Linked DNA regions of Diceros bicornis minor. The protein of the gene in region 1 interacts with the protein of each later gene in a pairwise test. Links are inferred from orthologs where the notes say so. Each region holds a gene or a part of one and is shown in the gene's direction. Other genes may lie near its edges.

Region 1 (15,968 bases):
TTCTAATTTTTAATATTATCTGTACTATCTTAATGGCAGTTACATTTTTGCAGTTTCATCCATGGTTCTCTTTTCTCCTTGTTGAGCTGGTCCCTGTGGTTACAGTCACCCGGTTTATTAGTCAGGAAACAAATATTTATCAAATTCCCATTGTGGACAAGTCGCCTTGCCAGGATCCCTGGGGGGCACGGAGAATGACATGATGGAGTCCGGGCCTTCAAGAACCGCACAGTCCAGTTGGGCAAGGAATGGAATGGGGAAGGCACTTTCTGGGGGCTGGCCTGCCCTGGCCTCTCACTTCCCACCCCAGGGACTCCTGCTAACCCCTGAGTTCAGACTCGGCCCTTGTCCTCAGAGGAAGCAGACACAAGGTCCTAAGCAGAAACAAAGCTACTGTCCTGCTACTGCTGCAGCCTCCTTTCAGATTCGTACCTGAGTTCTAGGCCCTGTGACATTGTCTCCTCCCCGGGGTTGCTCCACCCTACCTGCTTTCCCGACCTTGTCTCCCTGGGATCTGGCTTGTTCCCCAACACAGCAGAGCAGCACAGCCAGATGTGGTGGCCGTCAGCTGGTCCTTGGGCCTGAGCTGTTTACCCAGTCTCCTGTCCTCCTTTCTAGCCCTGGCCTTCACTCCACGTGGAGTAGGCGCCCTGAGCCCAGCCCCCTGCCCAGCCCCTCCTGCACCCGCCTCCACCTGCATACCTCGTCTTTCTTCCAAGGCCGGGTCTCCTGCCCTGGCTCCCCAGCTCACTCAGCTCCCTTTCTGATGTCTGTCCTACTGGCTGAAGCTCCCTGAGGGCAAGCACAGGTTTCCAGACGCCTCAGCATCTGGTGCGGACTCAACAGCGGGGTGAATGAGTGTTCCTGCTACTCACTGAGCGTCTACAGGTGGCCCAGGCATCGCTCATTTCTTTGAGTCTCAGTTTCCTTGTCTGTAAAATAGATTCAATGCTAAGGTCCCCTTTGGCTCTAAAAGTCATTAGACCACATAACTGGGTTTCTCAAGCTTCAGTCATCTTATAGAAAAAAGTTTGTTTCATTTTTCAGCTGATTCTTAATTACATTTATTCCAGTATACTATTGGAAACCAGTCACTGACTTGGAAATTTGAGTTTAATCTGCTGTCATTATAATGCTTCTTTTGGTCTCTTGGTTCTCATAACATTTTTTGGCATTATTTTTTATCAAATAATCCACTGACAATATTTAAAAATCAGATCATGTTAAAAATTCATTAATGAAAAGTCACAATTTCTGCCCTACCCCTCCTCACTTCTCAGTTCTCCTCAGTGAGCTCCCTAGAGGCAATTGTTTTCAACTCTCTTAGCTATTTCTTTTGGAATTTAACTTCATACTTCTAAATAGTTTGCCTCTACTCCATTTGTTAATTTTTCAGTCATGGACACTCTCTTGACTTCCTGGGATGACAGATGAGGATTTAGCGCTTGTACATCCTCCCTCCATTCCCCTCCCTGCCCCCAAATCTTCCAGTGTGTCACAATTAGCTTTTTGGTTAAATGACTACTAAGTGTTTACATCGACATATAGGAGTGTGCACCTTACTGGGATTATGTTTACTCTCTTATACAATACTTTTTTTTTTTTTAATTTTTTGTTTATTGCAGTAACATTGGTTTATAACCTTGTATAAATTACAGGTGTACATCATTATACTTCTATTTCTGAATAGATTACATCATGTTCACCACCCAAATACTAATTACAACCCATTACCACACACATGTGCAGAATTATCCCTTTCGCCCTCCTCCCTCCCCCCTTCCCCTCTGGTAACCACCAATCCAATCTCTGTCTCTATGTGTTTGTTTATTGTTGTTATTATCTACTACTTAATGAAGGAAATCACACGGTATTTGACCGTCTCCCTCTGACTTATTTCACTTTGCATAATACCCTCAATGTCCATCCATGTTGTCACAAATGGCTGGATTTCATCGTTTCTTATGGCTGAGTAGTATTCCATTGCGTATATATACCACATCTTCTTTATCCATTCATCCCTTGATGGGCACTTAGGTTGCTTCCAAGTCTTGGCTATTGTGAATAATGCTGCAATGAACACAGGGGTGCATGTATCTTTATGCATTGGTGTTTTCAAGTTCTTTGGATAAATACCCAGCAGTGGAATAGCTGGATCATGTGGTAGTTCTATCCTTGATTTTTAGAGGAATCTCCACACTGTTTTCCACAGTGGCTGCACCAACTTGCACTCCCACCAGCAGTGTGTGAGAGTTCCCTTCTCTCCGCATCCTCTCCAATACATGCTGTTTCCTGTCTTGTTAATTATAGCCATTCTGACGGGCATGAGGTGATATCTCATTGTAGTTTTGATTTGTGTTTCCCTTATAGTTAATGATTTTGAACATCTTTTGATGTGTCTGTTGGCCACCTGTATATCTTGTTTGGAGAAATGTCTGTTCAGGTCTTTGGCCCATTTTTTAATTGGGTTGGTAGTTTTTTTTGTTGTTGAGATGCATGAGTTCTTTATATATTTTGGAGATTAACCCCTTATCAGATGTATGGTTTGCAAATATCTTCTCCCAATTGTTAGGTTGCCTTTTCGACTTGTTGATGGTTTCCTTTCCTGTGCAGAAGCTTTTTAGTTTGATGTAGTCCCATTTGTTTATTTTTTCTATTGTTTGTCTTGCCCGGTCAGACATGGTGCTTGAAAATATGTTGCTAAGACCGATGTCGAAGAGCATACTGCCTATGTTTTCTTCTAGAAGTTTCATAGTTTCAGGTCTTACATTCAAGTCTTTAATCCATTTGGAGTTAATTTTTGTGTATGGTGTAAGGTAAGGGTCTACTTTCATTTTTTTGCATATGGCTATCCAGTTTTCCCAACACCATTTGTTGAAGAGACTTTCTTTTCTCCATTGTATGTTCTTGGCTCCTTTGTCAAAGATTAGCTGTCCACAGATGTGTGGGTTTATTTCTGGGCTTTTGATTCTATTCCATTGATCTGTGTGTCTGTTTTTGTGCCAGTACCATGCCGTTTTGGTTACTATAGCTTTGTAGTATATTTTGAAATCAGGCAGTGTGATACCTCCAGCTTTGTTCTTTTTTCTCCAGATTGCTTTAGCTATTCGGGGTCTTTTTTTGTTCCATATAAATTTCAGGATTCTTTGTTCTATTTCTGTGAAAAATGTTGTTGGAACTTTGATAGGGATTGCATTGAATCTATAGATTGCTTTAGGAAGTGTGAACATCTTAACTATGTTAATTCTTCCAATCCACGAGCACAGAATATCTTTCCATTTCTTTGTGTCTTCTTCAATTTCTTTCAGCGATGTTTTATAGTTTTCGGTATACAGATCTTTCAACTCTTTGGTTAAGTTTATTCCTAGGTATTTTATTCCTTTTGTTGCAATTGTAAATGGGATTGTATTCTTAATTTCCCTTTCTGCTCATTTGTTGTTAGTGTATAGAAATGCTACTGCTTCCTTTCCCATTTGGATCACTTTTATTTCTTTTTCTTCCCTGATTGCTCTGGCTAGGACTTCCAGTACTATGTTAAATAGGAGTGGTGAGAGTGGGCATCCTTGTCTGGTTCCTGTTCTTAGAGGGATGGCTTTCAGTTTTTCACCGTTGAGGATGATATTAGCTGTGGGTTTGTCATATATGGCCTGTATTATGTTGAGGTACTTTCCTTCTATACCCATTTTATTCAGAGTTTTTATCATAAATGAATGCTGTATCTTGTCAAATGCTTTCTCTGCATCTATTGAGATGATCATGTGATTTTTATTCTTCATTTTATTAATGTGGTGTATTACGTTGATTGATTTGCAAATGTTGAACCATCCCTGCATACCTGGAATAAATCCCACTTGATCGTGGTGTATAATCTTTTTAACGTATTGTTGTATGCGATTTGCTAGTATTTTGTTGAGGATTTTTGCATCGATGTTCATCAGTGATATTGGCCTGTAATTTTCTTTTTTTGTGTTGTCCTTGTCTGGTTTTGGTATCAGGGTAATGTCGACTTTGTAGAATGAGTTAGGGAGCTTCCCCCACTCCTCAAGTTTTTGGAAGAGTTTGAGAAGGATAGGTATTAAGTCTTCTTTGAATGTTTGGTAGAATTCACCAGGGAAGCCATCTGGTCCTGGACTTTTATTTTTGGGGAGCTTTGTGATTACTGTTTCAATCTCCTTACTGGTGATTGGTCTATTCAAATTCTCTACTTCTTCTTGATCCAGTTTTGGAAGGTTGTATGATGCTAAGAATTTATCCATTTCTTCCAGATTGTCGAATTGGTTGGCATATAGTTTTTCATAGTATTCTCTTATAATCTTTTGTATTTCTAAAGTGTCTGTTGTAATTTCTCCTCTTTCATTTCTGATTTTACTTATTTGTGCCTTCTCTCTTTTTTTCTTGGTGAGTCTAGCTAAAGGTTTGTCAATTTTGTTTATCTTTTCCAAGAACCAGCTCTTGGTTTTATTAATTTTTTATACTGTTTTTTTAGTCTCTATTTCATTTATTTCTGCTCTAATTTTTATTATTTCCCTTCTTCTACTGATTTGGGGCTTTGTTTGTTCGTTCTTCTTTTTCCAGTTCCCTTAGGTGCATTGTTAGATTGTTTATTTGAGATTTTTCTTGTTTGTTGAGATAGGCCTGTATTGCTATAAACTTCCCTCTTAGAACCGCTTTTGCTTTATCCCATAAATTCTGGCATGTCGTATTTTCATTTTCATTTGTCTCCAGGTATTTTTTTATTTCTTCTTTGATTTCTTCGTTGACCTAGTCGTTGTTCAGTAGCATTTTGTTTAATCTCCACATATTTGTGGCTTTTCTGATTTTCTTCCTGTAGTTGATTTCCAGTTTCATACCGTTGTGGTCAGAAAAGATGCTTGGTATTATTTCAATCTTCTTAAATTTATGGAGACTTGTTTTGTGGCCTAATATGTGATCAATCCTGGAGAATGTTCCATGTGCATTTGAAAAGAACGTGTATTCTTCAGTTTTTGGATGGAATGCTCTGTATATATCTACTAGATCCATCTGTTCTAGTGTGTCATTTAAGGCCAATGTTTCCTTATTGATCTTCTGTTTGGATGATCTATCCATTGGTGTAAGTGGAGTGTTAAAGTACCCTACTATTATTGTGTTACTGTCTATTTCTCTTTTTATGTCTGTTAATAATTGCTTTATATATTTAGGTGCACCTACTTTGGGTGCGTAGATATTTACAAGTGTTATATCCTCTTGTTGGATTGTTCCCTTGATCATTGTGTAATGCCCCTCTTTGTCTTTTTTACAGTTTTTGTTTTAAAGTCTATTTTGTCTGATATGAGTAGTGCTACCCCAGCATTCTTTTCATTGCCATTTGCATGGAGTATCTTTTTCCATCCCTTCACTTTCAGTTTGTGAGTGTCTTTAGGTCTGAAGTGTGTCTCTTGTATGCAGCATGTATATGGGTCTTGTTGTTTTATCCAATCATCCACCCTATGCCTTTTAATTGGGGCATTTAGTCCATTGACGTTTAAAGTAGCTATTGATAGGTATGTACTTACTGCCATTTTTTAACTTTTTTCTCAGTGTTTTACTAGTCCTTCTCTGTTTCTTTCTCTTTCTGTACAGAATTGATGGTCTCTTTAGTTTGGCTTCTGTCTGAAAGCTCTACTCTTTAACTCCCCTCTTCCCTCATGTTATGTTTTTGATATCATATCTAACCTCTTTTTTGTGCATTTGTATCCATTTCCCTCTTATCATGGAAATAGATAATTTTTCCTATTTGTGGTCTTCTCTTTCCCCCTTAAATCAGTCCCTTTAACATTTCTTGTAACACTGGTTTCTTGGTGACAAACTCCTTTAATTTTTGCTTGTCTGGGAAATTTTTGATCTCTCCTTCCATCTTGAATGATAACCTTGCTGGGTAGAGTATTCTTGGCTGTAAGTTTTTTCCTTTTAGCACTTTAAATATATTGTGCCACTCTCTTGTAGCCTGTAAGGTTTCTGCTGGGAAGTCAGCTGATAGCCTTATGGGGCTTCCTTTGTATGTAACTTGTCTTTCTCTGGCAGCTTTTAGGATTCTCTCTTTATCTTTAATTCTAGACATTTTGATTATGATGTGTCATGGTGTGGGCCTCTTTGGGTTTATCTTGTTTGGGGCTCTCTGTGCTTCCTGTACCTGGATGTCTGCATCCTTCCTTAGGTTAGGGAAGTTTTCATCTATTATTTCTTGAAATAGATTTTCTCCCCCTTTGTCTCGCTCTTCTCCTTCCGGGACACCTATAACACGGATGTTAGTGCACTGGATGTTGTCCCAGAGGTCCCTTAGACTGTCCTCACTCTTTTTAATTCTTTTCTCTTTTACCTATTCAGCTTGGGTAATTTCTTCTAGTCTTTTGTCCAGCTCCCAGATCCGTTCTTCTGTATCCTCTACTCCGCTTTCGAGTCCCTCTAGCGAAATTTTCATTTCCAGTATCGTATTCTTCATTTCTGATTGGTTCTTTTTTATATCTTCCATTTCTTTGTTGACATTCTCACTGAGTTCATCTATTCTTCTCCCCACATCAGTGAGCATCCTTAACACTCTTAGTTTGAACTCTCTGTCAGGTAGGTTTCTCATTTCTGTTTCACTTAGTTGCTTTTCTGGGGTTTTGTCCTGTTCCCTTACTTGGAATGTATTCCTTTGCCTCCTCATTTTGCCTCTTTCCCTGTGCTTGTGTCTACGTATTAGGTAAGTCAGCTACATCTCCTGCTCTTGGATAGGTGACCTTATACAAGTGATGCCTTAGGAGGACTGCAGTGTGCTTCCCTCAGTTCTCAATGCTCCAGGGGTACCCCTATATAGGCTACATGTGTCCTTCTGTTGTGGCCTGTTTGCTCTCCCTGTATGCGCCCAGGGAGGCCGGGTTATGCTCCTGGCCAGCTGTTGTAATGCTCAGCTGTTTGTAGTTGTTGTGGGCCCTTCAGTCTCTTTATCAGGTGTGCAGAGCCCCAGCTCAGTTGGCTGCAAGTTCTAATACCACATTTGTGTTGCAGTATTTCTTTTAAGTGAATAGGCCCCCAGCGTGGCAGGTTGTTAGGCTCAGGGGCTTACAATTGCTGTAAGCCTCCAACCTTTATGTCTCTTGTCAGCTCTCTGAGGATTGCAGCTGGGTGGGGCTGGCCTCAGTCACAGGAGCATCCAATTGTTTCAGACTTTGGAAGATGGGGCAAACTCCCTATGTGGGTCTTTGAGAAGCACAAGTCTTCTGCAGCTGACAAGCCCTGCCACCCACAGGTCCACACACACAGTCAACACAGTCCTGCCCCGTGTGCACGCCCCGACCTCCCAAAGTGGACCCAGTCTCTCCATGGTGGCAGCCCCACACACTCCACCACTGCCCCACACTCTCCACCCACTCCTTGTGCACGCCCTGCCCCACTGAAGTGGGCTCAGTTGCCAGGCTGCAGAGAATCCAATCACCAATCTATGCATGCCCACAAGTTGCCTGAGGGCTTGTTGTTGGGTGGGGCCAGTCTCTAGGTGGGCTACCTGCCCTGGCTGAGCTGGATTAAATCGGTGCTCTAGCTGGTGGGACAGACCTGGGCTAGCAGGCCCCAGGGAGAACTCCAATGGCATCTGTGTCAGCACGCCCACACCGGGCCACAACAATGGCCGCAGCCAATGTCCCAGTCCCTGGAGAGGTCCCATCTCCCACCGAGATGCACTCAGGGCCTATCAGGTGAGTCTCTTTTCACCAAAGCACTATGCACCTTTCTTTCTGGTGATTTTAGGATGCTTTCTGAAACGGGCAAGTTTGCACATGGGCCCTTTAAGAGCTGGTTTTAATGTCTTTGTGAATCAGCTTTTCTGGGGGTGCTCCCCAATGTTTTAGTAGCAGGCAAAGTCAGATATTATGCCAATCGTCTCAGTTGTGCTGGGTCCACAAAATGCCCGCAGCGGGGGCGCTCCCTGGCTCAGCGTCCTCTTCCTCCAGGGAGGCTGCATACCTTTCGGCTGCTCCCGGGCAGCCGTGCGGCTGGCAGCTTGTGAAGGTGGCGTTTTTTCTCTCCTGAAGGGAGTTTCTGTCTCTTCCACCTCAATTAGGATTGTCCTTTGTTGCAGGAGTTCCTCTTATCCAGTTTTCAGTTCTGTCTCAGGGGTAATTTTTCCACGAGTAGTTGTAAACTGGCTGTATCTGCGGGAGGAGGTGAGTTCAGAGTCTGCTTACACCGCCATCTTGACTTCTCCTCTCTATACATACTTTTTAACCTGAAGTAATTATGCAATTTTTATTTTCTTAGGTTTCTATGTTTCTATTGCTAATTTTCCCCCAAATGCTCTGTTTCCTGTTATGAAAACTCTGTAACTAATTACCACAAATTTAGTGGCTTCAAACAACACCAATTTATTATCTCACAGTTCTGAGGTCAGAAGTTGGAAGTGGGTCTCACTGGGCTAAAATCAAGGTGTTGGCAGGACTTCCTTCCTTCTGGAGGCTATAGGGAGAATCATTTCCTTGCCTTTCCCCGCCCCTAGAGGCTGCCCACATTCCTTGGCTCATAGCCCCTTCCTCAATCACTCCTATCTGATCATTTTCTGCTCCAACTCTGACCCTCCCACCTTCCTCTCATAAGAACGCTTGTGATTACCCTGGGCTCACATGGTTAATCCAGGTCATCCCCCCTCTCAAGATCCTTAACTTAGTCACAGCTGCAAAGCTCCTGTTGGCATGTAAGGTAACATACTCACAGGTTCCAGGAATTAGAATGCAGACATGTTTTGAGGGGAAGGGGCATCATTCCACCTACCACGTGCTCCAACAGGTCTGTCAAATGCCTATCAGCATCATCAGATAATCTACCAGTTCCAAGTTCGGAGTCTTTTGGGGTCTTTTGCATGGAATTGGCTCCTTCTGGTTCGTACTCCCTCTGCAGGCATGTAGGCTAAGTGAGGGAGTCATTGTGCCAAACGTGGATTGACATCCCTTGTGCAATGTTGTCGCCGCTCCTGTTCTCTTTGTTCTTATGGAATTAACCCTCTTTTAATCCTGTGCTCTCATTTTAGTGAGGTTCTGCAAAAGAAAGAAGATAAGTGTGATTGAGCCTCCATGTTCATCTGAGAGTTGTCTTTCGTGCAAACCTTCATAATAGAGATTTTTGTTTTTTGTTTTGTTTTTTTGGAGCCAAGAAGGAAGAGGTTTCAACTGTGTAATTCAGGCAGGTGACCAAGAATGAGAAACTAGGAAATTCACTTGCACTGTAGTTTGAGTAAAAGAGCAATTTTCCAGAAAGTTCTGTGCAGGACCTGCTGTAGGGATTTCTCTTCACTTCAGTGAGAGCTAGTGTGACCTGAAGGAAGAGCAAGGGCTTAGGGGCAGGTAGACTTGTGCTTGTTCTCAAAACTCTGCAACTTGCTCCTCCGTGACTGCTCTGAGCCTTAGTGTCCTCATCTATAGAACTGGGATAACAATACTTAATCACTTATTGTATACCTGGCTCACAGTAAGCACTCAACTATGGCAAATTTTAAATTGCTTTCAAATCAAGTCCACTGGATGGTAAGTGGTGAGGTGTCCTTCTATCGTCCAGACCCTGCACCAGATCAACAGCTTCCAGAATCTACCGTCTGTGCTTTGGGCCTCCCCTGGGTCCTTCCCAATTTGTCTCTAAGTTTGTTGCTTTGACTCTGAACGTGTAACTCTCTGCTGTCGTTTTCCTGTTTCAGCAAGGGCCTCCTGACCTAGCAGCCAAGACTGACCCTGCCCTCCTGCCATGTACCCCAACCCTCTCATCTACTGCACCTGCCGGGACCCCTGGAACTCGGGAACACGGAAGCTAATCAAGACCCCTCAGCCACCAAGCAAGCCCTCCCCAGGGAAGCCCAAGTGAGGATTATCTGGGGTGGAGTGGGGCCTGGGGCTTGGGTTCCATTTGCAGCCTTCTTTCTTTCACAAGATTTCCAGACAGTCAGCTTGGCAGAGAAATCCTGAGAGGGCCAGGAAGCCTCACTTTGCCAGCTTTCCTGCTGGCCCGCTGCCTGCACATTGCTATTGCTGGTGCTGCCGAGCTTGGTGTCATGTTAAATGAGGGCATCTCAGGGTTAGTGCTGCAGGGAAAGGCCCATGGCAGCTGCCCCTCCTGTGGGACAAAGAGCTTTGGGAACTGGGGGTTGAGCTGTGCTGCCAACCCGGGGACCCCTTGGGACAGTGAACAAGTGCCAAGGCCTTCTGCCTGAGGTTCCTAAGACCATCCCAATTTTAAAGATTTCAGTTGTCAGACCATATATTCTGATTTGGGGTCACCGTGGGGATGTGCCTCATCTGGGGGTGCTACAACAGGTTTCTGAATTTCCAATTTTTTCTTTTTCATTTATTTTTCACTTTCAGGCTAACTCTTCTTCCTCCAGCTTCAAAAAGACAAAATTATGTCCAACCAACAACAAAACCTGTTGTCACCCCAAAGTAAGTATTTTCATGTCCATGGGGCAGGGATAGTCTGAGGTATGTGAATAAAATAATCTCCCTCCTTGGCCTCCACAGCCTTGCCTGACTTCAACCAATTGCTGCCAGGGGTGTCAGAGAATTGCCAGAATCCACTGTGATTCCCCCCAAACCTCAGGTCCTACCTGTAGACTCGGAGGCCCTCTGCACCCACAGCTTTCAAAGTCACTACCCATGAGCTCTCAACTGGGGTTCCCCAATAGCTGTTTCCTGCCCTAAAAGGCCACAATGCCCAACGCATGTCACAGGCAAAGAGCCCCCCATGTATTTATGGTGATGACTCACCCTTTTACTAATGTGTCTAAGATTTTCTGTAGATTCCAACTCTGTCTTTACTCATAAATTAAAATTTTTACCCGTATTTTATAAGCTTAGACATGTAACTTAGTTTTAGGCCTTTGCACGAATCTATGTATTCCATGTATTTATTTATTGGAAAGTATTTCTTGAGCATCTATCATTTGCTAGGCACTGTTTCAGGTGTGGGAAACAGCAGTGAACACAGCAAAGTCTGCTTTCCTGGGGCTCACAGTGCTATTTTATAAGGAGGTCAGGGCAAGTCCCTGTGTGAAGGGGACAGCAGGACTTGCTGATATCTGGAGCAAGCACTCCTGACAGAGGGAGCAGCCAGAACAAAGGCCCTGATAGGAACTTGCTTGGCATGTCTGCCTTTTTCCAGGAAAGCAAAGAGGCCACTGTGGTGGGAGTGGAGAAGTGGGGCGGGGGGATGAATTCAGAGAAGTAACAGAGATGATGAGTGTGGTCAGCAGAATAATGCCCCCAAAGATGTCCACATCCTATTCCCTGGAGACTGCGACTATGTTCTCTTACTTGCCAAGGGGGAATTAAGATTGCAGATGGAATCATGGTTGCTAATCAGCTGACTTTGAGCTAGACAGATTATCGGGGATTATCCAGGTAGGCCCAAGGTAATCACAAATGTCCTTATACATGACAGAGAAGGAGATGTGACAATAGAAGCAGACGTCAGGGGGAAGTCAAGATGGCAGCGTAAGCAGACTCTGAGCACACCTCCTCCCGCGGACACAGCCAATTTAGAACTATTCATGGAAAAATTACCCCTGAGAGAGAACTGAAAACTGGATAAGAGGAACCCTTGCAACAAAGGACAACCCTAATTGAGGTGGAAGAGGCAGAAACTCCCTTCAGGAGAGAAAAAATGCCACCTTCACAAGCTGCCAGCTGCACGGCCACCCGGGAGCAACACATAGGTCCGCAGCCCTCCCTGGAGGAGTGGGGCCCTGAGCCGGGGAGCGCCCCCACTGTGGGCATTTTGTGGACCCAGCACAATCGAGACAAGTGGCATAATATCTGATTTTGCCTGCCAGTAAAACATTGGGGAATACCCCCAGAAAAGCTGGTTCACAAAGAAATTAAAACCAGCTCTTAAAGGGCCCACGCACAAACTCACCCATTTCAGAAAGCAACCGAAAATCACCAGAAAGAAAGGTGCATAGTGCTTTGGTGAAAAGAGACTCACCTGATAGGCCCTGAGTGCATCTCGGTGAGAGGTGAGACCTCTCCAGGGACTGAGACATTGGCTGCGGCCATTGTTGTGGCCTGGTGTGGGTGTGCTGACAAGGACGCCATTGGAGTTCTCCCTGGGGCCTGCTAGCCCAGGTCTGCCCCACCCACCAGAGCACCAATTTAATCCAGCTCAGCCAGGGCAGGCAGCCCACCCTACAGACTGGCCCCACCCAACAACAAGCCCTCAGGCAACTTGTGGGCATGCATAGATTGGTGACTGGATTCTCTGCAGCCTGGCAACTGAGCCCACTTCAGTGGGGCAGGGCGTGCGCAAGAAGCGGGTGGAGAGTGTGGGGCAGTGGTGGAGTGTGTGGGGCTGCTGCCGTGGAGAGACTGGGTCCACTTTGGGAGGTCGGGGCGTGCACACGGGGCAGGACTGTGTTGACTGTGTGTGTGGACCTGTGGGCGGCAGGGTTTGTCAGCTGCAGAAGACTTGTGCTTCTCGAAGACCCACATAGTGGGTTTGCCTCACCTTCCAAAGCCTGAAACAATTGGATGCTCCGGTGCCTGAGGCCAGCCCCGCCCAGCTGCAATCCTCAGAGAGCTGACAAGAGACATAAAGGCTGGAGGCTTACAGCAATTGTAAGCCCCTGAGCCTAGCAACCTGCCACGCTGGGGGCCTACTCACTTAAAAGAAATACTGCAACACAAATGTGGTATTAGAACTTGCAGCCAACTGAGCTGGGGCTCCGCACACCTGATAAAGAGACTGAGGGGCCCACAACAACTACAAACAGCTGAGCATTACAACAGCTGACCAGGAGCATAACTCGGCCTACCTGGGCACATACAGGGAGAGCAAACAGGCCACAACAGAAGGACACACATAGGGCACATAGGGGTCACCCCTGGAACATTGAGAACTGAGGGAGCACACTGCAGGCCTCATAAGGCATCATTTGTATAAGGTCACCTATCCAAGAGCAGGAGATGTAGCTGACCTACCTAATACGTAGACACAAGCACAGGGAAAGAGGCAAAATGAGGAGGCAAAGGAATATATTCCAAGTAAGGGAACAGGACAAAACTCCAGAAAAGGAGCTAAGTGAAACAGAAATGAGCAACCTACTTGACAGAGAGTTCAAACTAAGAGTGTTAAGGATGCTCACTGATGTGGGGAGAATAGATGAACTCAGTGAGAATGTCAACAAAGAAATGGAAGATATGAAAAAGAACCAATCAGAAATGAAGAATACGATACTGGAAATGAAAAATTCACTAGAGGGACTCAAAAGCAGAGTAGAGGATACAGAAGTGTGCTGTGCTTCTGCACAGCAAAGGAAACCATCAACAAGTCAAAAAGACAACCTAACAACTGGGAGAAGATATTTGCAAACCATACTTCTGATAAGGGGTTAATCTCCAAAATATATAAAGAACTCATGCATATCAACAACAAAAAAAGTAACAACCCAATTAAAAAATGGGCCAAAGACCTGAACAGACATTTCTCCAAACAAGATATACAGGTGGCCAACAGACACATCAAAAGATGTTCAAAATCATTAACTATCAGGGAAATGCAAATCAAAACTATGATGAGATATCACCTCACGCCCGTCAGAATGGCTATAATTAACAAGAGAGGAAACAACATGTGTTGGAGAGGATGTGGAGAGAAGGGAACTCGTACACACTGCTGGTGGGAGTGCAAACTGGTGCAGCCACTATGGAAAACAGTGTGGAGATTCCTGAAAAAATCAAGGATAGAACTACCATATGATCCAGCTATTCCACTGTTGGGTATTTATCCAGAGAACTTGAAAACACCAATTTGTAAAGGTACATGCACCCCTGTGTTCATTGCAGCGTTATTCACAATAGCCAAGACTTGGAAGCAACCTAAGTGCCCATCAAGGGACCAATGGATAAAGAAGATGTGGTATATATACACAATGGAATACTACTCAGCCATAAGAAATGATGAAGTCCAGCCATTTGTGACAACATGGATGGACATTGAGGGTATTATGCAAAGTGAAATAAGTCAGAGGGAGAAGGTCAAATACCGTATGATTTCCTTCATTAAGTAGTAGATAATAACAACAATAAACAAACACATAGGAACAGAGATTGGATTGGTGGTTACCAGAGGGGAAGGGGGGAGGGAGGAGGGCGAAAGGGATAATTCGGCACATGTGTGTGCTGATGGGTTGTAATTGGTATTTGAGTGGTGAACATGATGTAATCTATGCAGAAATAGAAGTATAATGATGTACACCTGAAATTTATACAAGGTTATAAACCAATGTTACTGCAATAAACAAAAAATTTAAAAAAAAAGCAGCAGCAGCAGAGGTCAGAGTGATGCAATTGTTGGCTTTGAAGATGGAGGAAAAGGCCACTAGGAACAGGGGCAGCTTCCGGAGCTGGAAAAGGCAAGGAAGCATATTCTTCCAGGAAGAACACAGCCCTAGCAACAGTGAGCCCCATTTCAGACTTTGACCTCCAGAACTGTGAGATAGTAAGTTGGTGTTGTTTTAAGCCACCAAGCTTGTAGTAATTTGTTACAGCAGCAACAGGAAACTCATACAGTAAGGTTTGCTGGCCACCATAAGGACTGTGACTTTTACACTGAAAGGGGTGGTGTATTAGCTTCTGGGGCCACCATAACAAAAAAACACAGACTGGGTGGCTTAAGCAACAGAAATATATTTTCTCACAGTTTGGAGGCTGGATCCAAGACTAAGGTGCCGGCAGGGTTGGTTTCCCCTCAGGACTCTCTCCTTGGCTTGCAGATGGCCACCCACTTGCTGCCTTTTCACTTGTGCATGCGCATCCCTGGGGTGGGGGGGGGGGTCTCTGCGTGTCCTAGTCTCTCTTATAAGGACACCAGTAAAACTGGATTAGGGCCCATCCTAATGGCCTCATTTTAATTTAATCACCTCTTCAAAGGCCCAATCTCCAAATGCAGTCGCATTCTGAGACACCAGAGGTTGGGGCTTCAACATATGAATTTTGGGGGGGACACTACTTAGCCCATAACATATGGGAAGCCATCAGAGGATTCTGAGAGAAGTGACATGACCCAACTTGCATTTCGAAGGGACTGATCTGGCTACTGCATTGACAAAGTGTCACAATTTGGTCTGTGTAATTGGAGTAATCTGAGTAGGTTGACATGGACAAAAAGAGTAAAGGAGAGTCATTCTGAATCGACCTTATCTGGAAGTAAAGTAAAACTTGTCAGTGAGAGAAACACAGTTATACGACACAATGAGCACCCACGAAGCTCCTCTCTGACCCCTCCAGCGGTTCTGAAGTGAATGGGGAAGGTCTCTGTTTGCTCGAGGAGGTTTGCTGAGAGCAAAAAAATACATAAGCTCAAATCCATTGTTAGCTTTTTAAAGAGACCCAGGCCACCCAGTGGTTCCCCACCCTCACCCCCACCCAAGGCTTTCCTGAATTCGGAGAAAGCAAACCAAATCACCATTGAGGAGAGTTTCAGGTTTATGAATGGGAGCATGTGGTTGATATGAGTTGAGCTGCATTTTAAATGGTTGAAAGTCCTCTTGTAAATTACATGTGGGTGGCCGGCCCCGTGGCTTAGCAGTTGAGTGCACACGCTCCGCTACTGGCGGCCTGGGTTCGGATCCCGGGCGCACACCGACTCACCGCTTCTCCAGCCATGCTGAGGCCGCGTCCCACATACAGCAACTAGAAGGATGTGCAACTATGACATACAACTGTCTACTGGGGCTTTGAGGGGAAAAAAAAAAGGAGGAGGATTGGCAATAGATGTTAGCTCAGAGCCGGTCTTCTTCAGCAAAAAGAGGAGGATTAGCACGGACGTTAGCTCAGGGCTGATCGTCCTCACAAAAAAATAAATAAATAAATAAATTACATGTGGGCCCCATTGTATTATCCGTGTGTATTGTGCATTCATGCCATTTTTTTTTTTTTGTGAGGAAGATCGGCCCTGAGCTAACATCTGCCAATCCTCCTCTTTTTGCTGAGGAAGACTGG
Region 2 (16,762 bases), on another chromosome or scaffold:
GCAATGGGTAAATACAATTGACAAGAAAATTTGGGTATTTTTGTGACATATCTTTTAGATAGTAACAGGAATTACAGGTAATAACATTATATTTGCATATCAGAAGTTTAGGAATTTTATACAATCTCTAGAAAACCTTTTAGTAACATTTACCCATATCATATAACCTAAAAAGGTTTATTATTGCTTATTCAACCATGCTTCTGATGTAATTTGACATACCAAATAAACCTAATTAATGTAATGTCTCTGTTTTTTCTAAGGAAAGGGAATAAATTTTTTGAGATGTCCCAGGCGCCCTCTAGAAAATCCAAAGTTACATTCAGGTCGAAAAGACTTCATGTAGAATTTGAATATTTTGAAAGGCTTGTCAAAAATATCAAAAGGTTTGGACACTTGATCAAACAGGATCACAGATCAATATAAAATAATACTTAAGTATCTATTTGACCAAAAGTAACAATAACAGGTTTCAAAGGCAAATACAAAAGGTTACATAGTTGTAAGCAAAACTTAACTCCTTCAATATTAAGAAGGCTCAGTTTTCTTAGGTAATTAAAGAGCCGATAGAAACAACACAGGAAATTATTTTGATAAAACAATAGCCTCTCTTCAGGACAAAATCATTTTCTTTTCCCTTAACAAAATGCATTTCCATTCCGTATACCTTCCTTTACTGAAATACACATCTTACTTTCTTTGCATACAGAGATGTTTCCTTTTTTTATTTCTAGTAGCTTTAGTTACACATATTAGAATTCTTAACCCTTAGAATCCCCCGTTCCTGGTAAAACTATGAAGTAAGCAACTGTGGACTGTATTAGCATTTTGTGGCTTAAACAAAGCCACAACTTAAAAGACCTTTTATAAATTTCTAGAAACATGTACGTTTTTTTCACAGAAAATTGCTGAGCATGGCATAAAACATGTTCACTAGTAGACTCAAATATCTTTAGTTTCTCTGTGATAGGAAGCCAAAAGTAGATAAATTTGTGCTCAGTAATTAACGTTTTAGTATTTTATCTTGTTTGGAAAATGATTTAGAGATTCAATGACTATCCATTTAGTTTAACTTAGCATAAACTTTGATCTTACTTACATTTATTTTAATTACTTGCTTTTAACAATCATGCTTGGATTAGACGTTAAATAGCCAACGATCATCTTAAGTTACTTTCATTCTGACAAATTTGGTAACAGAGACAGCAAGAGCCTACTTGACTAGTAAACCTAGGCAGAGAGAAAAGTTACACATTTGCATTATACCCAATGTTAACAACTCTGATGTGAATGTTTTTTATTTACGCCAACGACCTTAAGCTAGCTTTTATTTACTAAGATATCCTAGATCACATGAACCTGAAAAGCATTTAAGTTAGTTTCTATTATATTTCTGAGATTTAGGAATACTTAATTTATAAGCACTTAATTTCAAGCCAACTAAATAGAGCTTTTCACAAATCAATTCTAGCGAAACCATCCAGAGGTAGAAAAATATCACATCTCTATAACATACATACATAGACACAGAGACAGACATAAACAGAGATCTCATAGCTTTCATTTTAAAACCGTGTCTCAGGTACAAAACTCTAAAGAATAGTTGGATCCAAACTGTATCTCTGGCAGATGGACTAAGTTAAGGTTACTTGTTCAGGTGCCCAAAGTCTTTTACCAAAGATTTTTATTTGCATGTTGTAAAGATCCTTTTAGAGCTGTTTTTGGAGTCATTTGATCTATTATCAAAAGTCTAGGGTAATTGTTATTTAAATTTTTCCTTCTAGTTTATTTGCTCCATTTAACTTAGAAATAGTAATTAAGGGCTTAGCATTTGAACTTTCAGAAGGTCTGATTTCAAAGGGAGCAGGTTTTCGAAGAGGGGAAATGAGGAAGATGGTATCAGGGGCAGAGCCTGGACACAAGAAGGATGCCAGGGCGGAGTCTGAGACAAAGGTTCTGGGAAGACAAAGAAGATGGCACTTGAGACGAAGAAGAAGGGGGAGGGGAACATGAGGCTTCAGAGTCCATTTTGTTCTCCTTCAGTTCTTTCATTGTTTCTGCTAATTTAGACAAGGCACCTTGTAGAGTGGTAATTTTAGAGCTTTGTGCATATTCAGAGGCCTCCAGGTACCAACAAAAATAGACATGCCATTCATTTTGCTTAATTTTAGAGGCTCAGTCTTCCAATTTGGTGTTAAGTAAAGCTAGTTTGGGGAGACTGAAAGTTTCCCAATATGGCCATTGCAATTCTGGACTGCTTTTGGTCGTTTGGCCCACTTAGTTAAAAATGCACGTGTAGGAGGCCCACAGTTCTTAAACATAAACCCGGCCAGGATCCCTGAAGGAGAGTTTCCCTCAGAACATTTAGATGACAGGAATCCCATTTCTGAGATTTCCTCTGAAAACCCATGAAAGTTGCTCAAGTCCTAGTCCTGATCCCCAAAGGAATCTAAAAACAAAGGAAAAGTTTCTGGGTTCCCAGCCCTGATTCCAAAAGGAATCTGGAAAATAAAACAAAACAAAAGAAACCTGGATTTTCAGCAAGCCCAATCCCCGAAAGGAGCTATGCTACCTTCGGAAAACAACCAAGTAGTCTCCAAGGGTGATGCCTTGAACTCAAGGACAGAGCCTTGACTGAGACGACAAAGTCCCTCCCCTGACAGGACCAAGCTTCTCCTGATACCAAATAAAGTCTGAGAGCTCAGAACACAAAGGGGGTGGAGCTCAAAATCCAAGAGAAGACTCACCAACTCACACAAGCGATGAGCACAAGGGGCTGGGTGTGGGTACCTGGCTCAATTCTGTGGGCCGCCATCTCTCTGGGGTTGTCTCCTTTGGATCCCACTTTTCTGACACCATATATGTCAACTTAAAAAGCAAATTCGCCTGTTATTTTATACTCAAAATGAGTTTATTTGGGAATAGCCAAAAAGAATTGCAATTTGGGACGTGCATGCTATGGCAAACCACAGGCAAATCCAGAAAATAAAGGAATGGAGCTGCTTTTATAGAGAAAAAGGGGGAGTAGGGAGGGGCTGTTCTAAACAAGTCCATTGGGGGAAAGTAACAGTTCTGCACAGCAATGGCTTCTCATTGGCTGAGCTGCAGCATTTCTCATTGGCTGAGCTGTGGTGTTTCTCATTGGCTGAGCTACGGCATTTCTTATTGGCTGAGATGCAGTGTTTCTCATTGGCTGAGCTGCAGCATTTCTCATTGGCTGAGCTGTGGCGTTTCTCATTGGCTGAGCTGCAGCATTTCTCATTGGCTGGGCTGTTGCCAGGTGGGGAGAGAAATCTTCCTTCAGTAGTAAAGCAGTTTTATTTCTTGTCCAAGAGGCAAGCATCTGTCTCTTCCTGTTTGGTGTAATTGGCGATGTGTGATAGGGCGTGAGAGCTCCCCCTACAGGCCTTCCCGACTCCAATTTAGCTAAGATTTATTTTATTTATTTCCACAGTTGGAAGAATTATCCAGTGAACACTCTTCTATCCACCACCGCTCAAATTTTATTATATTTGTCTTATCGAATATCTGTGCATTCTTCTACCCACTTATCAATATTTCTTTTTCGTGATGCATTTCAAAGTAAATTGCAGACATCAGAACATTTCACCCTAAACATTCCAGGCTGCATATCATTAAATAGATTTCAATATTCGTTTATGAGTTTTTCTTTTAGTAGATGCAGTTTATGCACAGTATGCTGCACAGATCTAAAGTGCGCCAGTTTTGAGAAATATACGTGTAGCCTAAACTCCTATTGAGACATAAACACCTCCTCTTCAATGACTGGATTCCAGTGTTGGCAGGGCCCTAGTTTATTTATCCAGTTATGATTTAATTTATCCAATTCCGGGTTGTTCAGGTTCCTCTTATCAACTATGTTGCAATTAACATCCTGGTATATATTTCCTCAGGGGCTTCCTCATGGGCACCTATCTATTCCGTAAATTTCTGGGAGTCACGTTCATTTGTGCATCCAACAAATAATAATGGAGTCGCACCTGCGTGGCAGACGCTGGGACATCGTAGAGGGAGCCAATTTCTGCTCCCTCTTAGCTTCCCTACTAGTGGGGAAGATTGACTTAAAGAAGAGGTCAATGGACAAAGAAAATATTACTAAGTATTAAAAGAGCTGTGAAAGAGGCAAACAGGTAGCTGAGATGGGTAATGATGGCATGGAGGGGGTGTCCCCTGCGAGGTGGTCTGTATAATGTCAATACTGCCAAGCCATCTCCCAAAGAGGTTGCCCTCATCACGCTGCCGCTGAGAGCTGGCGAGGGAAAGAGTCTGTTTCTCTGCAGTCTGGCCAAGGCATGAGTCATTCCGCTGAGGTGGAGGTGCCCAGAGATGGGCTCCATGCGGAATTTCAGGAGGTGAGGGAGGGTGCTTCTGTCCGGAGAACAGCCCAGGCAGGCGGGACGGCTGGACACTGCACAGTGTGTTCTGCGGCTGAGGCACGTTGAACACAGCTCAGGCTCTGAGCTTCTTGGCAACGCTCCCCGGAGAAAGTCCAGTTGACCACGGGTGCCCTCTGTGAGTCAGCAGGACAGCCTGCAGCCACATCGGGGTCCTGGAATGGTGGGGCCGCTCACAGGAGGGGGCACCTGTTCCAGCCCCACACAGACCGCAGCCTCCCAGCAGCCTACACTCTCACCCCTTTTGCTCACGCTGTTCCCTCTGGTACCCACACACGGTTCCTTCCCTCACCTCCTTCAGGTCTGCTCAATATCACCTCCTCAGAGGGCCCTCCCCTGACTCCATCCATCTAAAATTGCAATCCCCACCCAGATACCCCCTATCCCCCTCTGCTTCATTTTAGTCCATCACCATCCAGTATACTACACTTAAAACATCATGTGTTAACTTTATGGTTCATTCAAACGTAAACTGCAATCGGGTTTCTTGTCAATTGCACCCACTCCTGTATCCCCCCAGCGCCTGCCATACAGTGGGTGCTCAAGAAATATTTGTGGGGTGAATTAATAAATTTGCTCCATCTCAGGCAAAAAGGCCTAAAGCTCTCAGGAATGGGGAGCTCTCTTTGAACATCAGACTGAGAGGTCCCTGGAAAAAGTCCCATGTCCCGTCCCGTGATCCCCCCCCAACACACACACACACTGCTTATTCTTTTAATGATACCAGAGAGGGCTTGTGAATGGCCTCAGGTCACAGAGCAAATCCAAGGCAGGCCTGTGAGGTAGGCGGGCGTTGCTTCTCTGCACATCCCTGAGTATCCAAGAGGGACACTGGCCCATCGGCGGTTTTGTTATAATAATGCCTGATGGGCATTAAGCATTTACGGGAACAAGGCTCTTTTTTTTTTTAATTGATGTTTTAATGGTTTCTAACATTGTGAAATTTTGGGTTGCGCATTTTTGTTTGTCCATCACCATATACATGACTCCCTTCACCCCTTGTGCCCACCCCCCACCCCCACTGCCCAGGTAACCACAGTCCAGTTTTCTCTGTCCGTGTGTTGGTTTATATTCCGCATATGAGTGAGATCATACAGTGTTTGTCTGTCTCTTTCTGGCTTATTTCACTTAACATAATACGCTCCAGGCCCATCCATGTTGTTGCAAATGGGACGATTTTGTCTTTTTTTTATGGCTGAGTAGTATTCCATTGTATATATTTACCACATCTTCTTAATCCAACCATCAGTTGAGGGACATGTGTTGCTTCCACTTCTTGGCTATGGTGAATAATGCTGCAGTGAACATAGGGGTGCATAAGCCTCTTTGGATTATTGATTTCAGGTGCGTTGGATAGATTCCCAGTAACGAGATGGCTGGGTCATAGGGCATCTCTATTTTTAAGTCTTTGGGGAATCTCCATACCATTTTCCATAGAGGCTGCACCAGTTTGCATTCCCACCAGCTGTGTGTGAGGGTTCCTGCTTCTCCGCATCCTCTCCAACACATGTTGTTTTTTTGTCTTGGTGATTATAGCCATTCTAACGGGTGTGAGGTGATATCTTAGTGTGGTTTTGGTTTGCATTTCCCTGATGATTAGTGATGTTGAGCATCTTTTCATGTGCCTATTGGCCATCTGTATATCTTCTTTGGAGAAGTGTCTGTTCATTTCCTCTGCCCATTTTTTGATCGGGTTGTTTCTTTTTTTGTTGTTCAATTGTGTGAGTTCTTTATATATTATGGAGATCAACCCACAAGGCTCTTTTTAAAAAAAAAATCATAGGATAAAATTAATTTTTTTGTGGGAGTGTATAGTTTTATGAATTTTAACACATGTATAGATTTGTGTAACCATCACCACAACCAGGATACAGAACTGTTCTGTCATCTCTTTGTAGCCACATCCTCCCCCATCGCTAACTACCCTCTCTTCCCACCCCCCACCCCCACCCCCACAACTACGGATCTATTCTCTGTCCATATGGTTTTGTCTTTTCAAAAATGTCGTATTAGTTTCCTGTTGCTGCTGCAACAAATGACCATAAACTGAGTGGCTTAAAGCAATATAAATTTATGCTCATACACTTCTGGAGGTCAAAAGTTTGAAATCAATGTCATTGGGCTAAAATCAAAGAGTCAGCAAGGCTGCGTTCCTCCTGGAGGCTCTCGGGCAGAATCCATTCCTTTCCGTGCCTTTTCCAGCTTCTAGAAGCCGCCTGCATTCCTTGGCTCATCGTGGCCCCTTCCTCCATCTTCAAAGCTGGTGGTGTAGCATCTTCCAATCTCTCCCCTTTCTGACCTCTGCTTCTGTTTTTACACTTTCTCTGACCCTCCTGCCTGCCCCTTATAAAGACCCTTTGATGACATTTAGGGCCCACCCGGATAATCTCTCCATCTCAAAATTATTTCTTTTTTTTTTTTTTTTTTGCGAGGAAGCTTAGCCCTGAGCTAACATACGTTGCCAATCCTCCTCTTTTTGCTGAGGAAGACTGGCCCTGGGCTAACATCCATGCCCATCCTCCTCCACTTTTATATGAGACATTGCCACAGCATGGCTTGACAAGTGGTGCCTCAGTCCGTGCCTGGGATCTGAACCTTTGAACCCCGGACTGCCAAGGCGGAGCGCTCGAACTTAACCACCACACCACAGGGCCGGCCCTCTAAATTCTTAACATAATCACAGCTGTAAAATCCCTTTTACCACCAACGTAACATATTCACAGGTCCGGGGATTAGGACAGTTAGGACGTGGACATCTTTGGGGGCCATTCTTCAGCCCACCACAGTCATACGAATGGAAGTGTATACCTTGTGACTTCCTTTGTCTGGTTTCTTTCACTCAGCTGAAGACTGAGACTCTTTGAGACTCATCCTGTACCTGAACTCAATGGGTTCGCCCCTTGGTGAGTGCGGAGCAGAAAAGCACAACCAAGGCAGAGTGGGTGAAGAAAGGTTTATTCCTTGCACAAGCAATGGGGAACACAGGGGATATCTCCCAGAGCAGTGTCTCCCCCAACAGGGCGTGAGGGGTCCTTTTATGGTTAGATCAGCGTGCAGTTCACGCATATTCAGTTAAGGAAAAGGCAGGAGATCGGGGTTTCCCGCCTCCCAGCCACGGTCTTTTCAGGCGCATGCGTAGTAGGATCTAACACTGGCTGCTCGGCCCCTCCCGGAGGAGGAGGAGGATTTAAGAAGCTAATGAGGGCAGAGCACCTGAGCGCAGTGAGAGCTGATTATAGCAGGAGTCGAGACGCTGTCTTGTGAGCGATCTCTGCGGTTGGGTTCTTCCTGTTTTTCTGGAGCCTTGTCTGAAAAACATCTGACCGTTTCTGCTAGTTGTTAGCCAAATCCTCAGTAACCCTTTTTCTACCTGTTTTCCTGGCTACCTGGAGACAATCTGCATGGTTGTCAGCATCAGTGGCTTGTAGCATCGCACGGGACGCAGGTACCACTATTTATCCGCTCCCCCCGCAGGAGGACACTTGGATTGTTCCTCGTTTTTGGCAATTATGGATAACGCGGCTGTAAACACAGAGCACAGATGTTGGGGCGAACATAAGTTTTCCTTTCTCTTGAGTGAACCCCCAGGAGGGGAGAGACTCTGCTTTAAAATCTGCGCTTATATTAAGCTATTTTGTGGAGGTACCTTAATAGACAATATATAAAATAATACGATATAATAATAATAAGATTCCCCTGGGAGTTAAATATCCATGTCACCAAGAGGATGGAGGTGGAGACTAAGACTCAGAGAGGATATGTGAGTTGCCTGCGGTCAAGTCTATGTCTTCCTGACTACCCCCTTCCCCCACACCCCTGCACAGAATGAGCACACCCAGGGAGAACCACATGAAGGGGCCGGGAGGTCCCACCCCATGGCCCCAGGTGGTTAGGGGCAAAAACTGTGGGGCCACACAGCCTGGCTTCAAAGCTCAGCTCTGTCCTCTGCAGCTGTGTGACATTAGCCAAGTGCCTTCGCCTCTCTGTGCCTGCATTTCCTCCTTTGTAACACGGAGGTAGCACTACCCCCCGCCTCCTAGGGCCCTTGCGGAAATAAGTGAATTAAGGCATACACACAATGTAGTGGGGAATGCAGTGCCAGGGAGCGCGGTCAGCGCGATTTTTCTTTCTCCAACAAATATTGACTGAGGCCGCCTTTGCGTATGCTGGTGTTCTGGATATATCGGCAGTCAAGACAGACTGAAAATAAAAATAAAAATCCCTTGGCTCACGGAGCTCACACGCAAGCAGAGAAGAAAGGCAATAGTCAACATAACATGCAAAGCATAGAGAGACTCAAAAGGTGACAAGTAGGACAGGAAAACAAAGCAGGCTGTGGGGTGGGTGGGTTCACTTATGGACAGGGTGTCAGGGGAGGCCTCAGACCTGCAGGAGGTGAGGGGGCCAATCACAGGCCTGAAAGGAAGACAGAGAACGACCAGTGCCAAGGTCCTGAGGCAGGACTCGGCCCGCCGTGCTGGAGGGACAGCAAGCACACCAGTGCGGCCAGAGCTGATAAAGAAGGAAGAGAGCTGAAATGAAGGCAGAGATGGATCACAGCAGAACTCTGAGGTCCTTCCCGCTACTGCGAGGACTTTGCTTTTTTTGTGTGATACGGGAGGGTTCTGAGCAGAGGAGGGACAGGAAGTGACTCAGGTTCCAACCAGATCTCTCTGGCTGCCGTGTGGGGAGACGGACGGGAGGGGGCAAGGGTGGGAACAGGGAGATCAGTAAGGAGGCGACTGCAATAGTCCAGGCAGCTCTAATCCTTTCCAAGTTCCCTCAAAGGAGGCCTTCCTAGCCTCCTTCTCCAGCTGAGGAAACTGAGGCACAGAGAGGTTAAGCCATGTATTCAAGGTCACACAGCTAGTTGGTAGCAGAGCCTGGGTCCAAATCAAAGTCTGTCCGACTTCAGCCCATCTTCCTTCCCCTCTGCGTGGGCCAGGCTGCCTCTGTAGGTGGTGACTGAGCCCCCACTACCAGGGGATCTGAACTGGGGACATGTTTGTTTAGTGCACACCTGTCGTGTGCCAGGCGCTAGGGATAAAACACTGAATGACACAGACAAATTGTGTCCTAGTGGTAGAGGGAGGGGTGAAGGCTCATTGACAGTTGTTTACCGAGACCTCCTATGAAGACTGCTGTGTGACCTTGGAGACATATATTAACCTCTCTGGGCCTCCATTTCTTCTGACGTGAAGTGGCGCTCTCCATACCCACTTCATGGGGTTCTGGGAGAAGTCTGTGATAATGCGTGTCTTTGGCATAGAATTTCCATAAGGGTGGCTCCCCTGCCCCTCCTCCCCTGCTGGGACCAGAGGGAAGTCAGCCACGATCCTGGAGGTCTGACGAGGCCAGAGGAGCGGGCAGGCCCAGGCTTTGTAGGACCTTGAGTTTCGGGCTGAGGGGCTGCAGCTGTTTGGAGGATGGACAGGAGGGAGACACTGGAGGCCAGGAGATCAGGAAGGAGGCTATGCTGAGGGTCCACGGGGCTGAGCAGGAGACCTGAGCTGGACCAGGGCGGTGGGGACAGACGGGGAGGGCCAGGGCCCTGTGGACTGTGGGGGTGGGAGGCAGGACGGTCGATGTGCTGGGACATTCTTAGAGTCACATGGCCTGGGGTCTCAGGCCAGGCCAGGCCAGGCACCTTCTAGCAGGCTAACCAGGTCCTCGGCCAATTCTCCGTCATGTTGGCCGTAGCTCCGCCAGCTGTCCGTCCTGCTGCAGGCTTCTGATCCAGCTCAGTGGTCATCTTCATTCCTCCGCTCCAATCGAGCGATCGCTGCGGGCCGGGCACCGGACATGGCGTGGGAACAAAACGGGCTTGTGACCCAGGGAGAGGAAAGGTCACCCCGGGGCCAGATTTGAGGTACAATGTGGGGAGAGGAGGCACACAGCATCTGCTTTGGGACACACAGTGACATTCAGCCAAGAGGGAATCCGGGTGCAGGGGGGCCTCCTCGACCTCCACGCTCAAGCACAGAGGAGGGCAGAGGAATGGCATTCCTGGCAAGAGGAACAGCAGATACAAAGGCCCGGAGGTAGGAATAATACTCGGTGCATTTGGGGGCTTTGGCTGGAGTGTGGGTTGCATGGGGAAGGAGGGACTGGGACAGAGACTGTCTACAGGCTGAGGTGCAAATCCCACTCTGCTTGGTACTTGCTGTGTGGCCTTGGCCAAATTGCTTTCCCTCTCTGAACCTCCATTTTCTCATCTGTCGTATTGTAACGTGCAGGGAGATCCCAGCTCTACCCCATTCATGCCTCGATTACTTATTAAATATTGATGCTCATTATTTATTGAGCAACCAGTTGTTCTAGGCTCTGAGGGTGCGGTGGTAAGGCTTGGACACTGTTGGCCTGGAATGAGGCCAGGCTTTGGGAGACTCTAAAGGCCCCAGGGGGGATTCCGGGTTTGGGGATCCTTTATAAAGTCCCTACAGGCGATTCCCAAGTGCCCGGGGCTGAGAACCACTGAGGCGGGTAAAAGGACATAACAAGTGATCTTGGGCTTTCTTTCATTTTTGTCCCTGATAAACCACTTCATTCATTCGTTCACACATTCATTCATTCATTTGCACATCCATTCATTCGTTCGCACATTCATTCAGTCAGTCAGTCAAATACCAGTTGAGAACCAACGATGTCCCCACACTGTGGATTCCACCTTGGCTTCCTAGGATGGGGCTTGGACCCGCGATTTGGAGATTGTAGGTGCTGAGGGAGACGGGGGGGGGGGCACCCTCGTATTTATTCATTCGTGCATTCAAGGACTATTTCAGGGGCTCGTGAAGGGCGCAGGAGCTTCTCCTCGCTGGCGACTCCGTTTTCCTCTCCTGTAAGCTGCGGAGGAGATTTCTCCTTCAAGGAGCTGCTGGTGAGACCGAAGACAGAAATAATGCTGAATGCTAAAGGGAGCCTCCCTGCCCTGAGCATCCGTCAGGAGCCAGGCGCTTAACATATATTATCCCTTTTAAGCCTCAGGTAGGATTAAAATCCTGAGGGAGAGATTGCTGTTATCCTCATGTGACAGATGAGGAAACTGAGGCTCCGTGCGATCCGCTTCCCAGGCCACAGAGAGAGCACGCGTGACCCACGAAGGCGGAGCCAAAGCCCAGGCACTTAGCCGCTAATCTGCCTGGTAACTGATGACCTCACAGCTCCCGCCTACGGAGCTAAATCTGCCTGGCAACCAGTGACATCACTAATCCCACAGCACGTTCAACCAATGGGGTGGCTGATGACATCACAACATTAAGTCATTGCAACTTGCTGAAGGCCTACTGCGCGCCAAACGCGGTGCTAAGGCGCCCCTCCTCTGGGCTCACACAATGCCCAGTGTGGCCTCTACTACTGGGTGTAATAACAATAATTTTAGCTCAGATTTACCAATGCAGACTATGAACCAGACTCTATTTGAGGCATTTTTACATCTCTTGTCCTAAGGGTACTATAAAGGGCCACAGATGGAAAGTAGCTTTCCCATGAAAGCCGGATGAAACGCATCCCCATCTCGACTTCGCCTTAGCCAGGTCCCCAAGATACCCATCCCTCTCCCGCGCCCCGGACAGGTGACCCCAGGGGAGGCGGCGACAGAAAGACAGCGGACTAAACGGATTGCTCTTAAAACATCTCACTTTGGAAAACTTTACGTCAGTGTTTGGTTACATGAACACATTACAGGGGTTTTGGAAAAGAAGCTCGAGCGAGGAGTTTAGACTGTTTTAGCTTCACGGTGACCTCATGTCTGGGTTTCACAGGCGGGCTCTGCTGCTCTGTGGCCGTGTGGGAGTGGGCAGGGCGCCTGACTCTGGCCTGTTTCCTCATTTGTAAAATGGGGTGGTGACTTAGCATCTTCCTCAAGAGGCGGGCAAAGAGTAAACGTATGGAAAGTGGTTTAGCCCCACTTTGCAGATGTGAAGTGCTCCACCAGCTGTGTGGCTTTGGGCAAGTCACTCAACCTCTCTGTGCCTCGCTTTCTTCATCCATAAAGTGGAGATAATAATCATTGTCACCTCATAGGATCGTTGTGGGGTTCTGTAACCATCCCCACTCTGCAGATGAGGAAATGAGGCTCACAGAAAGTTCCTTGCCAGTGCTCCACTAGCAAGTGGGGTGCCCCTGCCCATCTCCTCGCTGGCCCTCCCTCCTGCCCTGAGGTTCCTCACCACTTTCTTCCACCTCGTGTCAAAGCTCTAAAGCTGGACCCCGTGCAGGCTCCTGGGACCTTGGAGGACGCTCAAATGCAGGCCCCTGGCCCCCCACCCTCCCCTGGGTGACCTCTGTCCTCGCCTCCTCCGCGGTCCTCATGGTGTCTCCCTCGCCCTCCCACAGCCAGAATTTGTCAGGCGAATACTTCAGGTACAAGGGCCTCCCCTTCCCCGTGGGCATCTACTCACCCGAGAGCCTCAGCATCGCGGAGAACGCCAACGTGCAGGACGACGACATCTTCATCGTCACCTACCCCAAGTCAGGTACCCGCCGGGCTGGGGGAGGGGCGCCGGGAGAGGGGGCCGGGGACAGAGGACGAAAAGGGCACACTGGGGAGAGTGGGAGGGAAGAGCGGCGGCTCTCCCGGCCCCGGGGAGGCCTCCCCTGACCTCCCTGGAGGAATAGCGTCCCCATCCTGTCCCTCTCTAGCCCCTTAGCTAACCGCATACTTTTCTTCATGCATCACTACCAGCCACTGTATTACATTCTCATGGATTTAGTCTCTGCGTTCCCCACTAGAACAGGAGCCCCATGAGGGCAGATATTTTAGTTTGTCTCGATCACTGCTGTGTTTTTGAGCCTAAAGAAGTGCCTGGCACATAATAAGTATTTAATAAATATTTGTGGAAGGACGGAAGGAAGGAGAGAGGGAGAGAAGGAAGGAAGGAAGGAGGGAGGGAGGGAAGGAAGAAAGAAACAATGAAAGGAAGGAGAGGTGATCTTAATTTTCTCCATTCTGACATTAAAATGCTGCCTACTAATCATCTGCCATGTGTGGAGACACAGCTGTGAACAAGAGAGACATCTGTCAATTTGTTGGGAGAGACTGGCTTTATTTAAACATGCAATCGCCTATATTACTATATAATTAGGGTTGAGGTGGGTCCCCCCAAAGAAAGGTGCAGAGAGCATTGAGTATACGTCACAAGAGGGTCTGGGGGATGAGGACAGCCTTCCTGAGAAGATGTTCGTGCTGAGACCTGAAAGCTGCAGAGACGTTTGAGTAGGAAAGGGTGTCCTAGACAGAGGGACAGCACGTGCAAAGGCCCTGAGGTGGGAGGAGACTCACTGAGTTTGAGGGAGCAAGAGAAGGTCACTGAGGCTGTGGTGGAGGGAGCTATGGGAGAGGCTGAGGGGACACGGCCCGAGGCAGCCTCCCTTGGGAGCCAAGGTGAGGATCTTTGGTGACTTTACTGAAAGTCCCTCGGGGAGGTTTGAGTGAAAGAAGGGATCAATTTCAGCTTTTTCTTCTCTAAAATGATGGGGTTGACTTTTCTTTTTTTGTAATATTTTTGAAATTTTTCAAAATATTACATTACCCTTTTCAGCATAGGGTTGTATGAGGTTTTTTTGGTAACAGTTTCAAGATATAGCTCACATGGCCATACAATTCACCCATTTTAGAGTGTACAATTCAATGGCTGTAGTATGTTCACAGACTTGTGCAACCATCACCAGAATCAATTTTAGAACATTTTCATCACCCCAACAAGAAACCCCACACCCATTAACCATCATCCTCGAATCCTCAGATCCCGGTCCCCAAGCCTCAGGCAACCATTAATCTCTTTTCTGACTCTGTGGATTTGCCTGTTCTGGACGTTTCTTATAAATGGAATCATACAATTCATGGCCTTTTGTGACTGGCTCCTTTCACTCAGCGTGATGTTTTCGAGGTTCATCCACGTTGTAGCTTGTGTCAGTGCTTCATTCCTTTCTGTGGCCGAATAATATTCCACAATGTGAGTGTAGTATATTTTGCTTATTCATTTATCAGTTGATAAACATCTGGGTTGTTTCCACTCTTCGTCTATTATGAATACTACTTCTAGGAACATTAGCAAACACGTCTGTGTGTGGACGTGTTTTCACTTCTCTGAGTTCTTTGAGTGTTGACAGAAATACACAGTCATATAACCACCACTACGATCAAGATATAGAACAGTTCCATCACCCTCAAAAATATCCTTACACATCCTTTTGTAGTCAGCTCCTCTCTTACCCCTAGCCCCTGGCAACCATGGACTTGCTTCCCCTATAGTTTTGCCTTTTCCAGAATGTCACATGAATGGAATCATTCCACACATAGCTTTTGAGGCTGACTTTTCTCACTCAGGACAATGTACTTTAGATTCATCCAAGTCATTGTATTTTTAAGCCCTGAAGAGTCTTCCCTTGTACGGATGGACCACTGTTGGTTTATCCATTCATCCGATGAAGGACATTTGGGTTGTTTCCAGTTCGGGGTGAGTATGAGTACAGATGCTCTGAAGCTTTGCATACAAGTCTATGCATGGGAATATCTTTTCATTTATCTTGGGTAAATACTTAAAAGTGGGATTGCTGAGTCTATGGGAAGTATGTATGCTTAACTTTATGAGCAATGCAAACTGCATTACCATCTTGCATTCCCACCAGCAACATAGATGGGTTCCAGATCTGCTTCCTTGTCAGCACTTGGTATTGTCAGGTTTTTGTAAAGCCACCCTAACAGATGCCTATGAGTATCCACTGTGGTTTGACTTTGCATCTCCCTAACGGCTAACGATGTTAAGCATCTTCTCATGTGCTGATTAGCCATCACGTATCTTCTTGGTAATGCGTCTGTCCAAATCTTTTTTGCCCTTTTTAATTGGGTTGTTTGTTTTCTTATTATTGAGTTTTGAGCATTCTTTATATAATCTGAGTACACATCCTTTATTGGATCTGCCTTTTGCAAATATGTTCTCCCAGTCTGTGACTTGTCTTTTCATTCTCTTTTCAGCATCCTCTCAGAGCAAAACTTATACATTTTGGTGAAGTCTAATTTGTCAATTTGTACTTTCATGGGTCGGACTTTTGATGTCACATCAAAGAATCTTTGCCTCACCCCAGGTCGTAAAGATGTCCTTTATATTTTCTTCTAGAAGTTTTATAGTTTTAGATTTTGCACTTAAATCTATGATCCATTTTAAGATAATTTTTATATCTGGCATGAGGCATAGATCAAGGTTCTTTGCGTTTGGATGTCCAGTTATTCTAGCTTCTTTTTCAAATTTAAAATGTAGTAACATCTCTCTTAAAAAGTAATGCATTCATAGTTCAAAATTCAAGAGGTACAAAGGGTTTACCCGGAAAGATCTCTCTCTGCTCCCACAGTTACCAATAGTCCCTGTGTATCCTTCCAGAATTTGCATACGCAAGCAGAAATGTACATTTTTTGTTTAACTTTTCCCCACAAAAGTTGACACGCTATACACACCATTCCACTTCATGGTTTTGTTTATGTTTTTGCTTTCTTTTTCCTTATATTTTGACATCATCCCATTTTAGAACTATAAACAAAGAGCTTCCTTGTTTTGTTTTGTGTTTTTTTTACAGTTCTGTAGTATTCCATAACATTGGATATACAAGAATTCGTGTTTAACCAGTTCCTTACTAATTAGTATTCACTAGTCTCCAATCTTTTGCCTTTATACACAATATAAACTTTATACACAATGCCGCATCTCACCCATATATTGTTTGCACATGTATGCATTTATCTGTAGAATAAATTCCTAGATATAGGATTGCTTAGTCAAAGGGTCTGTGCATTTGCGGTTTTGATGGATAGAGCCAAAATCCCCTCCATCCATGTTGTAGAAATCTGTTTCCCGAACAGCAGGCTTTGCTAGAAACGGTTTTGATGGTTGCACAACAATATGAATGTAGTTGATGCCACTGAACGGTGCACTGAAAAATGGCTAAGATGGTAAATTCTATGTGATGTATATTTTACCACACACCCACAAAAAAAGAATTATTAACTAGTACCAGGGGATTAAGCTACCAAGGGGCAAAGAGAAACCCAATGGATACAGAAAGAGTAGCTATTCCCTCTAGGGCTGAAGCAGAGCACCCAAGGAAATTTGCTGGGGGGTCGGGCTGGGGGTGGGGGGAGTAAGTGTCATTGGTGTCCATTGCACTGCTGACCGCTGTCCATCACGAGAGCAGGCAGGGAGGAGCGCGTGAGAGAACCCTAAAGAGACACCCGACCCTCCCACTGGTTCCTCCAGCGCCCTCTACTGACGGAGCTCAACATTGAGCGAGCTGGCAAATGAGAAACGTTTACAGGGTCCACCTCCAACATCCCCAAACGGGGCAACGGAGAGTGG

What was found.
Region 2: the proteins of FLACC1 (region 1) and SULT2B1 interact in binary tests that used the Homo sapiens proteins (3 or more experiments, as listed by UniProt). The two-hybrid records come from large-scale screens. The link is inferred for Diceros bicornis minor from reciprocal best matches to the Homo sapiens genes FLACC1 and SULT2B1.

What each region holds. Positions count from the first base shown.
Region 1 is NC_080749.1:79,199,922-79,215,889, reverse strand, and holds the start of FLACC1 (flagellum-associated coiled-coil domain-containing protein 1), read left to right. Parts: upstream 1-9,726; coding exon 9,727-9,839; intron 9,840-10,340; coding exon 10,341-10,415; intron 10,416-15,968.
Region 2 is NC_080773.1:24,216,592-24,233,353, forward strand, and holds the start of SULT2B1 (sulfotransferase 2B1), read left to right. Parts: upstream 1-8,918; 5' UTR 8,919-8,952; coding exon 8,953-9,002; intron 9,003-12,749; coding exon 12,750-12,889; intron 12,890-16,762. UniProt on the Homo sapiens protein: Sulfotransferase that utilizes 3'-phospho-5'-adenylyl sulfate (PAPS) as sulfonate donor to catalyze the sulfate conjugation. Responsible for the sulfation of cholesterol.